Linked DNA regions of Caenorhabditis elegans. The protein of the gene in region 1 interacts with the protein of each later gene in a pairwise test. Each region holds a gene or a part of one and is shown in the gene's direction. Other genes may lie near its edges.

Region 1 (5,581 bases):
ATCAGAAACTTCAATCATAAAAACGTCGTACGCCTATATGGAGTTGCTCATGATGAGCAGCCACTGTACATTCTACTTGAGTTGGTCAAAGGTGGATCCTTGCAAGATTACATGAAGCAGACGAAATCGGTGCCCCTGGCGGATCGAATCAATTTTTGTCTTGGAGCTGCAAAGGGTCTTGCGTACTTGCATCAAAACAATTGTATCCATCGGTGAGCAGGTTTTTTGTTGGAAAATCGATTGAAAACTTTTCAGGGACATCGCCGCCAGAAATTGTCTTCTTCACGAGAACGAGGTCAAGATCACCGATTTTGGATTATCTAGAGCTGGACCATCTTATACAACAAAGACATCTTGTAAGATTCCTATAAAGTGGCTCGCGCCTGAAACCTTGGCTACTCTGAGCTTCTCATATGCAACTGATGTTTATAGGTTAGTTTTATCAACTATTGAGGTATAGACAAGTGTTCTTTCCAGCTGGGGAGTCACTTGCTACGAAGTCTTCGTCGACGGTGCTGAACCATTTGAAGGTGTCTCGAATGCAACTATCAAGGCTGATATCATGGCTAACAATTTCTATCCAATGCCATCAATGACTCCAGACGAAGTAAAAGAGTACATGAGCAGTTGTATTTTTGTCGAAGAATCTCGTCGAGCCACAATACCATTGGCAGTTGCAGAATTTGAACGATTTGCTCGAATGTGTGAAGATGGGACATTACAGATGGGAAAAGCGAAAAATAGGCTTCTGGCAGTTTTCAAAAACAATAGTGATAGAAGCAGAAAAAGTCAGAGAAGCAAGAGGACGAAGAAGAAGAAGGAAGTGCCAAAAGAGGAGTGAACTGTTTTTATGATTCTTTCTACTTGAATAAAAATTGAGCATATGCTTTTTTTCAAAAAAAAAATAGACAAACATCTTAATAAAAATCCAAGATTCGAGCTTTGCTGGTATCATATTTTTCTCATTGGGGCGACATTTGGGGTACATTTCCGAATAAAATAAGTTGCATTATAAGTTTTTTTTTTTTATTTATTTTTGTTCATATTTCTCTGTGAATTGATTTTTCAATTAATGCTATTCCTGAAAAAATTATACAGATTTCCTTTCTGAATTAAATATTTGAATTATTTTTATATGGTTCCGTCTACATTCCGTTTTACACAACTTTTTTCAAAAAAAAACTTTATTTTAAAACATTCAAATGAATATGATCATTGATTAATTTATGGGTGATATGGTGGTGGTGATGCAGTAAGGCATTGGCTCTTCTTTGTCGGCTCACATTCATCTACCATTTCATCGATTGTCTCCTCACTTCCAACCACAATCCGTGCATTACATGCTAATCGATTCCCGGTCAGTGATCCATTTCTTAGGGTAAATCCCAACAGGTATCCCATTGAGATCATTGGAGATTCGAAAGTTGGCGGGAGTCCATTTGGCAGATCAATCTCCACATTGATATATTTCACCTCACCAGGTGCGACGTCACAACTGTAATTGGCTCCGCGGAGCACTGTTTCACCATCTCTTCGATATTTGGATTCAATTGGGCAGTCGGAGTGACAATCGTTAAGAGAACACAATGATTTCTGTGGGCGAGAGTGGTAATGGGATTGTTGAATGAGCTCGAAACGAAGATTAATGATTGGTTTTGTTGAATGATTCTCCATGATGGCAAGTGCTCGGATTGTCTCCCCTGCGAGGAATGCTCGTTTGGAAAAGTGAAGCTAAAATATAATGAGTGAATTTTTTGACTCTACTTTTGAAATTGAACAATACCTTCAACAAAAACAATCCATCTTTGAAAATCGTTCCAGAATTCTTCGACTTGACAAATTCCGCGTACTTCATCATTTTTGGCTCAGAAAGTGTCAGATTTGTCTTCTGAACCACACGGAATGTATTCATCATTTTTAACTTGAGTCTCCACGGACGATCAAATTCCACAGTAACAGAATACTCAATTTCTCCAAACATTCCGCAAAAACTTGGCGGAGAATTTTCTGGAAGTCGGAATCGGAAACGTGATTTGAGAGTTCCAGCGGGGATTGTGTCCTGAATGGGAATATTTTGAAAATATATTTATTAAGTATTAAAAACTCACAACTCCATCTTTGGCAATCCATCCCATAAATGTTCCGGCAAGATGGCGTTGGACATTTGAGCTCTCCGATCCTCCAAAATTACACTTTGATTCTCCTTTCCACGTGATTTCCATATATCGTGCAGAAATTGGATCTTTTGTTGTGAGCAACACTTTTCCAGAGACATAGTCGCCAGGCAGGTATGTTTTGGAAGGATTGGAGAAAACAATGTTCACAGACATAATTCAAAAGGGAGAGATCGAGATAATAAAAGACTGACTGAATGAGACAGATTCTACGTCGTTGTAATCAACTTTCAGCGTTTGTGGGCGGAGTTTCCCATCTTGCTCGGAGAGTGTGGAGGTGATGTGACAATATAGAAAGGTGGTAGATTGCCACCTGCTCTTTTATGAGAATTCCAAATCGATATTGTAATTTTTCTGCACCAACGAAGAACAGTGTCGGTGTAAAAGTCGTGTTTGTTATGGAAAAACGTATTTTCAGATTTTTATCTCCAATTTTCAAAAAGATCTGCATAAAAGAGCAAAATGCCAACAATGCCATCAAGTTTCCAACGTCTTCTTGATATCCCACCTACAATTTGAAACTGAAGAATCTGATAGTGGCACAAAGTCCGAAGGTACAGCTCATAGGTGAAATGCTCAAATAAAGAGAAAATAAACGAATTTTTATTGGTTTCAGCGCCCCAACATACAGCAAAGATCTGAATACAATTCGTTCAAGACTTTCAAAGTTTGTAAGAGGAGGTCAAAAGAAAGTGACAAAAGCAGAAGACAACGATGATTGAATTGTTCTATTCCATTGATCTCATCGAAATTTGATAATATTTTGATAATAAATAATTTATCAATTTAATTAATATAACAACGTGACATCGTTTGTACTTGTTTTATTCAGAAAAAAATTACAGAAAAATAAAAAGTGAAAACAAAAACTGACTCAGTTCTAAATATTTTCTTATCGATAGCTCTTTCGTATCCGCAACAATCCATTCGGAGTAAGTTAACATTCAGATTGCGCGTTGGGTCTGACAATGAGGGCATAGTGACTCTACCAGTTACTAGAGAAGCGGACTGCATTGACATGAACTTCTTACAGATGACAACCAACAACAATAGTTTTCATGTAAAAGGAAAAGAAGAAGTACAATTCGAACGGAAGAATGTGGTTGTAGCATGTGATGTGGTCAATGGGAAGGTAAATGAGGGCTCATTTCGTTTTTGTTTGTTGGGAAATGTTTCTGAAATAATTTATTGAGATGGAAATACATTTCTTTTTGAATAATGTATTCAACGTAGGGCTCGCGCTAAGAGCTGAAACGAGCACAATTTTGTCGGCATTCCTGATGTGTTTAACATTCGAAAATTCCTTAATTTTTCATAAATACGAAGTTTGGGCTATTAAAAAACTCATTTTCAATTCAAAAATCGAAGAGATCTTGAATAATCACATTTGAGATCATATATGTGGACGTGAGTAGCCAATTGATGGGTGTTCTATTTGCTGGTGATGAGATTTTGAACGTCAATGGAGAAACCGTAAGGAATATTTTAAGATCCGTTTCCGCTTCCGTTTCAACTAATCCAAATGTTCAGAACATAAAGACAACTGCTGACTTTATCCGTGCAATCAGTGCAAAACTTCCTGGAAAAGTGACAATTGAGTTCATGCGAGATGATCATTGCCTTGTCACTGAAAAACCATTGCCACCTCGTCGTCCAAATACTCAGATGGTTGAGTTGACTTTCACTTATCGTGGAGGTGCTGCAACAGGGATTATTATTCATAGAGTCAGTAATCGGGACACTTGAAACTTTTAAAGATGGTTTCCAGATGGCAGTTGATCCAAAAACTGTAACTATTTCAATGGTTCAGTCGGCTTCCAATGCGTGTCACTATGTCAAAGGTGGAGATATTCTTGTCAAAGTTAATGACATTTATGTTCTTGATCGTGACTCTGCTAGAAAAGTATGATATCTTCCGAAACACAAATGGCTACTATTATCGCTCTTTCAGCTTCTCTATGCGAGTGTCAACAACACAAAAACGGTACGTCTTACATTGGAAAGATCCACAAATACTGATCCACTCGGCCCTGCTCCACTGCCTCCCGATGGTGCACAGAGTACTGCTGTTGGAGTGAAGAAAGCTGGAAATTCAGTGATGCTTCCACCTCCAAAACCACCCCAAGGAAAAGCCAACAAGCAGTTTGATGTGGTCAGTTTAAACCCATTTTCTTTTATCACTTCACTTAAATATAGAAACATGTTTTCATTTTCTTCTTTGCAGCTTCTTCCTTCTGATGTTTTGGAAATTATGAAGACAAACAAGATTTCTACAAGAAACCGTGCACGAATCCTCCATGTATTATCAAATCAGCCGTTGCACCAGCTCCAACTCCAGTTCCAGCCACCTTGCCATCGGAGCCTGCCCCAGAAGTTCGTATCCCATACATTCCGTCTCCGAAGCCCCTGAAAATGACTCCAAAACGTCTGGGATCTTAACTTGAGGAAGATATTCGGAATAAATTTGTTCGAAAAAAGTTACTTTGAAGTGATTTATGAATTTTTAAAGTTTTGAAAATCTACCTATTTTGCCAATAAATTGTCATTTTCATTTGATAATACACACTTAAAGATACGGCTGAAAATGTACATGACAGTAAAATATACTGTGAAGCCAGAGAGTAAAATATACTGTGAAGCCAGAGAGTAAAATATACTGTGAAGCCAGAGAGTAAATTATTCTGTGAAGCCAGAGAGTAAAATGTACTGTGAAGCCAGAGAGTAAAATATACTGTGAAGCCAGAGAGTAAAATATACTATGAAGCCAGAGAGTAAATTATTCTGTGAAGCCAGAGAGTAAAATATACTGTGAAGCCAGAGAGTAAATTATTCTGTGAAGCCAGAGAGTAAAATATACTGTGAAGCCAGAGAGTAAATTATTCTGTGAAGCCAGAGAGTAAAATATACTGTGAAGCCAGAGAGTAAAATACTGTGAAGCCAGAGAGTAAATTATTCTGTGAAGCCATGAGTAAAATATACTGTGAAGCCAGAGAGTAAATTATTCTGTGAAGCCAGAGAGTAAAATATACTGTGAAGCCAGAGAGTAAAATTTACTGTGAAGCCAGAGAGTAAATTATTCTGTGAAGCCAGAGAGTAAAATATACTGTGAAGCCAGAGAGTAAAATATACTGTGAAGCCGGAGAGTAAATTATTCTGTGAAGCCAGAGAGTAAAATATTTCTAAACAACCCAAGAAACGAGTTCTCTAAAATTGTGTCGGGTATCAGAACTGATTGATAAGTTTATTGAAATTGAGAGCAATACATTTAACTTTACTAATTTATTACTTTCAAAAATCAAGTATCCCATTGATAACTGTTCACTTCTTTGCAGCGTTCTGATTCTTTGGATCCAGTTGATTTTCAGCAGAATTGAAAGCTCTAACCAGTGGCACCGACTTCAATTCAT
Region 2 (4,462 bases), 7.5 Mb from region 1:
AGCTCAAATTCTCTTTTGACAGCGACCATTTCCCAATGTGCCGCTGAAAATAATTATTTTTGAATTTTCTGCAAAAAATACGATGAACTACGTTTAAATGCGAAGAAAAAACAACAACAAAACCCCAAAAAACTAATTGCGCGTCAATTAATGTGCATTGTGTGCAATGTGAACTTTTTCGCTTACCGTAGTTTGGAAATTTTTGTTCTTCGATTTATTGATTTTTTCGAAACTCTTGCCCATATTTACTTGTTTTTTCTCATTTTTTATCGAAATTTAAATGAAACAAATTAGTTTAAGTGCTATATTTTTTTTATTCAACAGAATAAGTTCAAAACTTCCCGAAGATCAAATTTCTGTGGATTGTTACTCTTTTTTCACTGTTTTTTGTTGCAATACTCTCAATAAATTCAACTTTTCCAGCTAAAACCATGCTGCTCTCCGTCAAAACGTCGACTGGAAAAACCATCACAGTGGAGGCGCCGAAAAATGTGAAAACTGAAGTTCGCGACAAACAGGGAGTCGTTTTCACAGTCTCTTACGGTATTTATCGATTTTTTTTTTGGTTTTTATTTCAATATATGTTTATTTTTTCAGGAGAAGTAACCGGAGATCCAATCACTGTTGAAGCATCGGACGCCATCAAGGATCTTAATTTCAAGGTTGCCGAGGCTCAGCGAAAACCGCATCGTGAAGGAATGCGAATTTACGTTAAAACTTGTGAAAAAACGATCACTCTTGACACTGCTGCCTCCGATACCATTGCAAGTGTTAAGGCTAAAATCTAGGAAAAACGAGGTTTTCCATCAAATCTGCAGAAACTATATTTGGGTTAGTACTTTGAAACTGATAGCTTGTCTAATTTCTTTAGTTTTTACAGAACCTTCCAACATTGTTTTGTGCAAGGATCAACGTACTATTTCTGACTACAACATCAAAAACGGCAGTACTCTCCGTTTGGAAGTTCCTGTAAAAGAAAAACTGACGGTTTCTGTGAAAACCTTATTCGGAAAGACGATTCCTATTTCAATCAAGAATACGGATACTGTTGAGACATTGAAGTTCAAGGTTCAGAATAAACACGGTGTTCCACCAGATCAGCAGCGTCTCATTTTCGGTCGGGCACAGCTCGAGAATGACCGTGCTCTGTTCGCCTATAACATTCGTGATGAGGATATTATCCATTTAGTCTCCAGACATCGGTTGTGAAGTTCTCAATTTGATTGCTCTTAATCTGTTGTTTTGTTACTTTTTTGTTTTTTATTGTTGATAAATGTTGAAGGTTTTTTTTTTAATTTTTAAATTAAAAACACTGTCTCAAAATATTACAGGTACCATATTTATGATATATGAGGGTTTTTTTCCAGTAAATTCTTCTGTGTTCTGAATTTCCGACTTAAACATTTTATTTCGATGGTTCAGAAAATTGGTTTTTCAGGTTTTTGGATACTTCAGGCTGATATTTTGAAATACTCGAATTTAATTCAATTTAGCATTATTCAACCCGCTAGAATTTCTGTTGGCACATGTTTCTTCAATTAGAATTTCTATTATTTAAAAAACCACAAAGAATTTAATAAAAAATCAGCGAAACTACGGTAGACGAGGAAGTAGGCAGTTGCACACGATACACATTAAATAATTGACTTTTCCGTTTTTCTTGATTCAGTACTCGAAATGTTTTCATCGAAAACTTAGAAAAAAGTTTTTTAATATAAATGAAATTTCAATAAAATTTGCGCGTCAATTAAAGTGTTCTTTGTGCATTGTGAACTTTTTTTGCTTACCGTAGTTTTGCAATATTTGTTTTTCGATTTATTGACTTTTTCAACGCAATTCTTCTTTATAGCTTGCTTTTTGCCCGTAATTCATCAAAATCTTGATAATAATATTTATTAATTCATTCTATTCATATTTTTAAGAAAAATCATTTCGAAATTATCCAAAAACCAGATTTCTCCCTTGTTTGCTTCTTTTTTCACCGTTGTCCTCGTTTTTCTGTTGCAAAACTCTCAATAATATTTAATTTATAAATTTTTCCAGCTAAAATCATGCTGCTCTCCATCAAAACGTCGACTGGAAAAAACATCACAGTGGAAGCGCCGAAAAGTGTGAAAACTGAAGTTCGCGACAAACAGGGAGTCGTTTTCACTGTCTCTTACGGTATTTATTGTTTTTTTCTGGGTTTTGCATTAAAAAAATCATTTTCAGACAAAGGTACCGGAAATCAAATCATTGAAATGGAGGACACTGTCCAAGATGTCAAAATTCAAGAGGCTCAGCAAGCACCGCTTCGTGAATCAGAAGAAGTGACCGAAGATCCCATCAGTGTCGAATCATCGGAGGTCATCGGAAATCTGAATGTCAAGGTTGCCGAGACTCAGCAAGAACTGCATCATGAAGGAATCCGAATTTACGTTGAGAACGCTGGAAGAACATGCACACTTGACACTTCCGCCTCCGATACCATGGCAAGTGTCAAGGCTAAAATTTGGGAAAAACTAAGAATCCTCCCAAATACGCAAAAACTATTATTGGGTTTGTACTTTAAATATTGAAAGATATGTCTAATTTCTTTAATTTTTACAGAAAACTGGGACCTAGATTTGTTTAGCGATCATAGCACTCTTTTTGACAACAGTTTCGAAAACGGCAGTACTCTTCGTTTGGAAGTTTCTATAGAAAAAGAAATTGACGTTTTTGTGAAAACCTATACCGGAAAGACAATCACCATTTCAATCTAGAATACGGATACTGTTGAGACCTTGAAGCTCAAGATTCAGGATAAGGAAGGTATTCCACCAGATCAACAGCGTCTTATTTATCAAGGATCGCAGCTCGAGGATGACCGTACTTTGATTGCCTATAACATCTATAATGAGGCTACTCTCCGTTTAATTCTCAGACTTCGTGGATGAAGTTCTCAATTTGAATATTGTTAATTTGTTACTTGTTATTTTGTTACTGTTCTGTTTATTTTTGTTGATGAATGTTGAAAAAGTTTAGATTTTTTTGAAATTAAAAATATGGTTTTTAAACAGCCGGTATATTTCTTTGTGTTCTGAATTTCCAACGTAAAGAATCTTTTTCAGTGATTCAGAAAGTGTGCTTTTCAGGTTTTTCGTTAATTTCTGTATTTCTCTATCATAGAATACATTTCAACTCACAAGAATTTTCGTTAAAAACCACAAAAAAATTAATAAAAAATCGGCAAAACTATGGTAGACGAGAAAGTACGCTGTTGCGCACAATGCATGTTAATTGACGCGCAAACAGTTTTTTGTAATATTTTTTTCCTGTTTTGCTTGATTCAGTACTTGAAATGTTTCTTTTCAAATATTATAATAGTTTTTTTTAAAATTTTCTGCAAAAAATGCTGAAATTCTAATAAAACCAAAAAAAAACTCAAAAAACGGCATGCGCGTCAATTCATGCGCATTGTGTTCATTGTGAACTTTTACGCTTACCGTAGTTTGTCGAGATTTGTTTTTCGATTTATTGATTTTTTCGAAACTCTTGCCCATATTAACTTGCTCTTTCTCGCTATTTATCGAAATTTGAATGAAAAAAATTAATTTAGGTGCATTATCATTTTTTATTTAACAAAATAAGTTCAACAACTACTGAAAATCCAATTTCTGTCGATTGTTATTCTTTTTTCACTATTTTTGTCAAATTAAAAAGTTCTTTCTGCGTCTTTTTTGTTTAAATGCTCTCAATTAGGTTTAATCTATCAACTTTTTCAGATAAAATCATGCTGCTCTCCATCAAAACGTCGACTGGAAAGACCATCACAGTGGAAGCGCCGAAAAGTGTGAAAACTGAAGTTCGCTACAAACAGGGAGTCGTTTTTGCAGTCTCTTACGGTATTTATCGTTTTTTTTTCCTGGTTTTTGCATTAAAAATAATAATTTTCAGACAAAGATGCCGGAAATCAAATCATTGAAATGGAGGACACTGTCCAAGATGTCAAAATTCAAGAGGCTCAGCAAGCACCGCTTCGTGAATCAGAAGAAGTGACCGGAGATCCCATCAAAGTCGAAGCATCGGACACCAACAGAAATGAAGAAAACCCCGATTTGGCTGGGCCACCCGCGGAGCCAGTTATTCGTGGCACTGCCGCCTCCGGTAGAATTGTAAATGTTAGGCTTGCGGGAAAAAGAATCGTCCAACCGAATAGGCGTTTCACATCATATTTGCCTTCGTCCGCCGTGAGACGTGGTTGGTTTTACAATTGATTATTTGTCTAATTTACCCATAATATTTTTTTTTCAGTAGCATCGCCCTATCAGATTCGGCGGGTTTCAGTCGATGGAAATTTCAACGTTTTTGTGAAAAACTCAACCGGAGGAAAGACTACCGCTGTTTCAATCAAGAATACGGATACAATTGGTACCTTGAAGCTCAAGGTTCAGGAGAAGGAAGGCATTCCACCAAATCAGCAGCGTCTTCTCTTCAAGGG
Region 3 (7,618 bases), 610 kb from region 1:
CAATCATTCACACATTTCCAACTCACCCATTGTTCACGTGCAAATAAGATGAACAAAAAATGAGGGAAAAGAAGCAAGTTTCGTGTTACGTGTATCTTCAAGAAGTAAACAATGAATTAGATGCGCAACCCACGTAAATCACAACAACGCTGCTACCCGAAAAGTATTTTCCGGAATTGTCCGGGTTACGGTCAAAAGAGTGAAACACATTTTCGAAAATAAAACGGTGTCAGATTACGGTGTCATGTTACTAGCCAGCATTAGACTGTCTAGGAGGATATGTGTGGCATTTTAGGAATAGAACACAAATCCCGGATAAATAGTGAATATGCATTTGGAGTATTTCAACAACACGAGCGTCACAATATATGTTGAAAAAAAATTACAAATTAATAAAAAATAAAAAATTAAAATAAAAAATTGAAATTTCTTTTTTTAAATTGTAAGCTTATCAAAATACAATTCGAGACGGAAACAGGTGATATGGGTATGTGGAATGCTCGTATGAATTACTGATCGAATAACGTAATATTCAAAAATAGAACTTATTTCTTAGTTTTCGTCTTCCATGAATAAACTTTGAATGAACTATTTCTGTCTAGAACATGAACAAAATCTTGGAATATTCATGAGTGAATTATTAGTGAAAAGTTCATAAAATGATATCGAGGATCTACAAGTGTGCATTTTATTTTTGCAATTGGCACGTATAGATTTTCAATGTTTCCAGCTGCACCACGTCACTACATAATTAATATCATAGGTGCACACCAAAATACTACTCTCTCACGATAATTGTTTCGTTTTCTGAATTGAAATAGACAAGAATCAATACAAATATTTAAGTTTTATGAACGCTTAGTTTTCTAAATATGTATTGAACCAGCTCCAAAAAAGAGTGAGGCAAAAATAATCCTGAATTATTTTTGAAGCTGAAATAAGCTTGAAGGTCAAAAGGGAATCACCCAAAGATAAATGAGATAAGAGTTGCAATAGTTGAGTAATCGGATGCAAGAGTAACAGAGAAACTACAGTAAAAATAGTAAATTTTGATAGTTACACTAAAATAGACAAGAGTGTAGGAGAAGCCGTCAATCTCGGGAAACAAAGATCACACGAGTACTCCTTTTCTTGTCAATCACAACGGTCATCGGTCAAAATGTTCTCAACTTCCTTCACTTTCTCTCCGTCTCCACTGTCTTGATTACAAAGAAGAATGGCAATCCTAAAAAAGGAAATGAAGCTTCTCCGTGTCTATCGGCAATGCATCATCATCACCTTCCCGTTTTGTTTCACATTTAATCCTCCCACATGCTCCACTGCCAGTCAAAAATCAGAAGAAGGCACCACTGGTGGGATAATGCGTTGTGTATTTACGGTTTTGCAACGTACACAGTCTCATTCTCGGACAATTGCGGAAGGCAACGAAATAACCAAATAACCCGGCAAGAAACATATTGTGGAGGCGAGAAATGTGTGGAACATGCTTACGCATTGTTGAGCATCAAATGATCACTTTTTGCGCATCTTGGCAATGACCAACTTGACTTGTTTTTTTTTGTTTGATGGCAAGTGACGGACTTTGAAAATGAATAGGTTGGCATTTTTTGAAAGAGAAAAAATCAAATGAACAATATGCAATTTCATCAAAAGAAATATTGTTTTTCTGCAGGGTGTTGAATTATGAAGGTACGAAGAAACACTTTTAGACATTACCAAGTTGGAAAAACGGGATTTAAGTAATATTTCAAGTTCCTTACTACTTACAAGTGTTTCCCGTGATAAAGTTTTATTTGATAGTTACTTTGTAATATTCAAAGAAATTGTGTAACTGGAAAAGTTTCTGATACTTGAATTGTAAATATATTCACAAAAAAAAACATATTCAATTAAATCCAAAAACAAATTCAAATGATTTAAGCTCAGACATGATCAACTACGTTTTTTCCCTGAAGAATTGTCGAACACTTGGAACATAAAATGTATACTGAAAACTTTAAGATCCCTCATTCCGGCAATGAAGACCACCGGCAACTTTTTGATCTGTCTAAATACGCGTACATCCCTTGAGACAACTTTTTGAATGGATCAAAATACATAGAGATTCCCACCCTGTACAAACATCGTATTGAGCACTTTAGACACTTTTTTCAGGCCGTGTCAAGGATCCACCAAAAATCCAAAATCTAGTCGTCAATTTCCGTCGGTCCTCGGACGACGATCCGATGCAAAAAGTTGATCCGTTTTTTTGCGTCTCCTCCATTCTTCGTCTTCTTCCTGTAAATTCCTTCCTGGTGCATCGAGACGGAAAGGAGGAGCATCCTACAATTTTTTGCCGCCTGATGGCTACCGCCGCGGCAACATGACAGACGTATATAAGACAGTGGCGGAAGGAAGCGGAGCACCAAAAGAGCACCTCCCTCACTGTCGTCGGCCAGCAGTACCGCCGAGAGGAGTTCTACGAATAAACGATATGAAGACGAACATTATATTATTACTTATAGTTATTGGATCATACCTTGTGGATTCAGAACAGGTAATTTTTGATATATTAAAAATAAAATAAAATTATACCTCTAATATCTCTCATCCATTTTCCTTATTCTACAATCTCTTATTCAACTTTTGAAAACGTAGTCCAAAATCTTCCTATGAAACATTTTCTCCCAATATCACTGTTTTTTTTTTATTTTTCTAGTAAATTTTTATTTTTCCAGTAAAAATCAATGCAGAAACACCGTATTTCCTTTTTCAACTTTTACAATCCCTTGCTTAAATTATGTAGCTCATATTTTGGTTGTCTTTATTTTTTGTTAAAAATGTGCAATTTTTCAATTATTTTTCTATAGTTGTGTAATTAGTAGTTTACAGTAATTGAAAAATAATTACGTTAGTTTCCCTGATCATCCCAATTTATAGCTAAACACTACGCGCCTACAGTATTTTCATTGCACATCCATGACTCTTTATAATCTCTCGATCTTCGCAATATCTTGTATTTTGACCGACTGATGACCTGTCTCGGCAAAGTGTTCCAAGTCTCGCCATTCTCAAGTGAACCATATCATATTTCATGTCCATGAGAAGGGTTCCGCCTTTCTATGACATTTTCCCACATTCACACATACAAATAACACAAGAACAAATAAACCGGTGCCATGTCGCAAATTCAACAAACAATGACCTGTCGCTCACTTGATTATCACGTCTGACTCATGTTAATATCCCATACATTTTAGAGCTTGATTACACGAGCCAAGCGACAATGCCCGTGTGCGCAACTGTCACAAAAATCGAAATGCAATTGTTATCCGATTGGGAGTGGAATGCAACGATGCAAATGCTCAAATGAGCCACAATCAAGCGGATGTTCTTGTGCCAATAAGGCAAGTCTTTGTGGAATGGAATTGTAGTACAAGTCTGAAATTTCAGGCTCAAACATCGGTATGCCAACCATCATGTCAAAAGTCTTGTGTAGATTCTTGTGTAAGGAACTCCCATCAGCCACAGCTTCTTTGTGATAAGACATGTCAATTTACATGCAATAAGGCATGCACTCCATCTACATCAACGAGCTCATCGTCCAATTTTCCACCAATTAAGGCACTACTTTACCATTCTTTGAACCCAAATAAAATAATATAATTACAGGTAGTTGTAAACCAACAAACCAAGGCTTCTCAATGCCCACAAGCCTGTGCTCAATCATGTGCCAACAGTTGCACAGCTCAGCCAAATAAATCTTATTGCATTGATATGTGCATCAAATCTTGCCAACCAACATGCGTTCAAGCTGCTGTATCTATAAATGTCAAAGAATTCATGCGTACTTCGGTCTGAACGACCAATTTTCACAACCAAAAAAATATTCAATTTTTCAGACCACAACCTTAGCCCCATCAAGATCATGTGTCTCTGCTTGCCAACCAACATGTGACGCTCAGTGTATTAATGTCATGAAGCGGTATGAAGTGATTATTCAAAAGATGCCACTTGCCCAGAAATGTCCCTCCCAGTGTCAGCCAACCTGTTCTCCACAATGTATTCAATCGGTCACTGTTTCTATTCAAACTACAGCTCAACCAACAACAGCTTCCTGCATTCCGGCTTGTCAACCAGCGTGCACTCCACAATGTGTTCAAGCAGTTACCACGACAGAAACATGTATCCCGGCCTGCCAACCCGCTTGTCAACCACAATGTGTAGAGAGACAGCTTCAGATTCAGATCGTAACTTCTCAAGCAACACAAGCAACTCGTGCTCCTGAAACATGCATTCCAGCCTGTCAACCAGCTTGCCAGCCACAATGTGTTTATCAGTATCTTTCTTCGGGGTCTTCAGGCATTTCAACAGTTCCACCAGTAACCAAAGTGTGCATCTCAATCTGTCAACCAGCTTGTGATCCAGGATGTGTTGCTATTTACACGACGACTCCAGCCCCACTTCACTGCGTTTCTCAGTGTCAGCCAGCTTGTCTTCCATCTTGTACTGACACCTTTACTACAACTATCTCGCTTCCAAAACAATGCGTCCCAGAGTGTCAGCCAGCTTGTGAGACTAAATGTATTGTTGCTCAAATTGTGCTGAAGATCAAGAACAGCTATCAACAACCTCAGCAACTGTCTCAACAGTACATCCCACAGTCTTCTTGTGTTCCACAATGCCAACCAGCATGTACTCAGGAATGTGTAGCTGCTCAGCCAAACTTCTCGGTTCAAATTAATATGATTGATGAAACCCCTTCAACCTCAACTTCTTCTCCACAATGTATTCCTCAATGCCAACCATCATGTGATCAACAATGCATTCAAACTTACAAGATTCAAGTACAACAAATGAATTCTCAACAGAAACAGCAACGTCAGTATAATTGTGTTCCCGCTTGTCAACCAACTTGTGAGCAATCTTGCATTCAGTCTCAATACCAAGTTACTATACAACAAAGTTACTCCAAAGGGAATCAAGGAAATAGCTGTCCATCAGCATGTCAACCGGCCTGCGAACCTCTTTGTGTACAACAAATCACTGTTCAAACAACCGTTCCAATCACAAAGACCTGTGTTCCACAATGCCAACCGGCTTGCACTCAAGAGTGTGTCCAGCAGGTAAATATGATATAAAATTTGAAGAAAAAACAACACAACAGGAAAAGTTTAGAACTGTAAATAAACATAAATTAAAATTATAATAACCACCATAGTTTTTTTCTTTTCAGGCAACTACCTACACTATCTCCATTCCAATGACTACTGCAGCCCCATCATGCGCTCCACAATGCCAACCAGCTTGTGATCCACAATGCATAAGCTTCACTCTTAAACTTCCAGTAATGACCACTCCACCCCCGACGCCATCTTGCCAGCCACAATGTCAACCAGCTTGCCAACCATCTTGTATGGAGACATACACATTCACGATCCCAATGAATGATCAGAGCTCCAAGCAGTGTGCTCCAGCTTGTCAACCTGTCTGTGATTCAAAGTGTATTCAAAATTATCAATTTGAAATTGTAATTCCACAGGTCAGAAAATTTAGAACTTTCTGCAAAAACTGAAGATTTTTAGGCTGACAACAACTGTATGCCAGCTTGCACCCAATCTTGCCAAACTTCATGTGTTCAACAGAACAGCCAAAGTGTTCCACAATGCAGCACAGCTTGTACTGACAGTTGTAGATCATCTTGCGTTGAAGTACTGTAACTGAAATATCAGCTGATAGAGTTCTGCTTGGCAAATTGTTAAAATATCGTTGTTTTTTTTCAGATCGTGAAGGAATCTGCAGAACCAACTTTCAAATTGGAAATTGTTCTTAAAAAACCAATGGAAGAAACTGTGACATGTGCTCCACAATGTGCTAATCAGTGCGTTGATCAATGTAAAACTCAACTTCTGACCCAAATTGAATTCTGTCTGCCAGCTTGCCAGAACGCCTGTCAACAGAACTGCCCGTTGCAAGTCGAACCATGTGCAATGAGTGGTTCACAATGCAATTGTTCAACTGGATTCTCACTTTGTGGAAATAACCAATGCTGCAGAAAGAGAAGACGATAGATCCATTCAAAAGGAAACAACCTACCTACGCACATTATTGCCATAATTTTAATTTTAAAGCGAAAAAAGTGTATTTTATTTATCATACATCAATAAATATTTATGAATATCATATAGTGTTCTAGAATAAAATATATTTTGAAATGAAAGTGAATATAATCAAAAATAAAAGTGAAGAAGAGTTCGAGGATCCGGTAACGAGACACCATTGATCAATAGGTTGATCTGGTTTTAAATTGTTTGCAATTTGATTCAACACATTCATTGAACAGTAATCTCCTCCACATCCAGTAATCTCCTTCGTCATCACAGTAAAGTCATCTCCAGATTGTTTGTGGTAAACCAGCTTCAAAACTTAGATATTACAATATTGCTTTACCGAACAAACCTACCTTAAAATAGTCAGCGTTATCAGTAGTATTTCTCCAATATTCAACCGATACGGCAGCGGAATAAAGTGGATATCCGTGAGGTTTAATAGCAAATCGTTCGATGCCAAGAGCTACTAGCACTGCGTATACGGTCTCATCGTGCTGAAAAAAAATGTTTAATGTAATAATTCAATTGTGAATAACATGTACAACTAAAAAATTTCCAGAAGCTTCTTAAGGTTACTACCAAAAAACCCACAGCTGAATAAACGAAGTACTTGAGTCCATTTATCCAATCACACCCTTGTGTATTTTTTCCATATGTACAATCACTTTTCTTATTAATTCTATCCATCATATCATTCATAAGAGGTCCGGATCGTACTTTCAGAAGCTCAAGGCCAATATTCATGTTGTTCATATTAATAGTACTATCTGAAAAATTATTACATACAATGTTCTTAGAAAAACAACGTACTGAATACTCCGTATTGATACATATAAATTTGATCATTTACTGCCACAATTTGACTATAAAAATCATCATTGAACCATGTATTCTCTTTTCGAAGTGATTCATTAAAATATATTTGTTCAATGAATAAGGCATCCGGGACAGTCCAGAAATCTTCTAGACTCCATGTTTGATTAACCAGTGACGTTAGTTTGTCGATTACTGATGAAACTGGTACTGAGCTTCTCCAGTTCTTCATTTCGTCCGATTGTTGAGCAATATTCCAGAGCCATTCACGACGTGGGCAGATGCAGTCCATATTTCCAATCTAAAACAACTGCTTCTGATTAAATATAGTTTTAAAGTTTCCGATCTAGTCTAAATAGTACAATAGTCTAATATGTCGAAATTTCATAATAAGACACACCAATTCAAAGTTTTGGTAAATTGCCAAATTTTCCAACAGTACGGATTTTTTGAGTAATTCCGAGCATTGTTGTAGGTTAGATTCCCTAGAAAGTTTGAATACAAATAATTGAAACGCAATTAAAAAATAAAACTTTTAGAAATGTGTTTTATTCACTTCCAAAATTAAGATAGCCTGACTACGATATTTGGGCATTATTGCGTGGAGCGATGTAAAATACTTTCTATACTTCACCTTTATTCTCCAATTTTTTATTGATTCAAATAGCCCAAAATCTCACATGATCACTGTCATAATCAACGGTATGAACTGGAAT

The links. The genes of interacting proteins can lie anywhere in the genome.
Region 2: the proteins of mpz-6 (region 1) and F52C6.3 interact in a two-hybrid assay, tested with the Caenorhabditis elegans proteins (one large-scale study listed by BioGRID).
Region 3: the proteins of mpz-6 (region 1) and appg-2 interact in a two-hybrid assay, tested with the Caenorhabditis elegans proteins (one large-scale study listed by BioGRID).

Annotation. Positions count from the first base shown.
Region 1 is NC_003280.10:9,404,603-9,410,183, reverse strand, and holds mpz-6 (PDZ domain-containing protein), read left to right. Parts: upstream 1-3,063; 5' UTR 3,064-3,106; intron 3,107-3,207; coding exon 3,208-3,306; intron 3,307-3,566; coding exon 3,567-3,647; intron 3,648-3,704; coding exon 3,705-3,899; intron 3,900-3,942; coding exon 3,943-4,077; intron 4,078-4,125; coding exon 4,126-4,326; intron 4,327-4,398; coding exon 4,399-4,584; 3' UTR 4,585-4,650; downstream 4,651-5,581. Other genes in the region: M176.9 (Tyrosine-protein kinase), read left to right, coding at 1-212, 256-432, 478-841; arrd-2 (Arrestin C-terminal-like domain-containing protein), read right to left, coding at 1,225-1,731, 1,784-2,059, 2,109-2,330; Y51B9A.5 (Ovule protein), read right to left, coding at 5,493-5,581.
Region 2 is NC_003280.10:1,922,716-1,927,177, forward strand, and holds F52C6.3 (Ubiquitin-like domain-containing protein), read left to right. Parts: upstream 1-2,043; 5' UTR 2,044-2,051; coding exon 2,052-2,163; intron 2,164-2,211; coding exon 2,212-2,538; intron 2,539-2,589; coding exon 2,590-2,744; 3' UTR 2,745-3,005; downstream 3,006-4,462. Other genes in the region: bath-2 (BTB domain-containing protein), read right to left, coding at 1-29; F52C6.4 (Ubiquitin-like domain-containing protein), read left to right, coding at 432-543, 598-788; F52C6.2 (Ubiquitin-like domain-containing protein), read left to right, coding at 3,755-3,866, 3,919-4,221, 4,276-4,462.
Region 3 is NC_003280.10:8,798,729-8,806,346, forward strand, and holds appg-2 (Activated in Blocked Unfolded protein response), read left to right. Parts: upstream 1-2,401; 5' UTR 2,402-2,473; coding exon 2,474-2,536; intron 2,537-3,239; coding exon 3,240-3,386; intron 3,387-3,432; coding exon 3,433-3,603; intron 3,604-3,651; coding exon 3,652-3,834; intron 3,835-3,881; coding exon 3,882-5,105; intron 5,106-5,215; coding exon 5,216-5,521; intron 5,522-5,564; coding exon 5,565-5,690; intron 5,691-5,762; coding exon 5,763-6,050; 3' UTR 6,051-6,161; downstream 6,162-7,618. Other genes in the region: pho-13 (intestinal acid PHOsphatase), read right to left, coding at 6,172-6,396, 6,443-6,583, 6,681-6,856, 6,900-7,203, 7,583-7,618.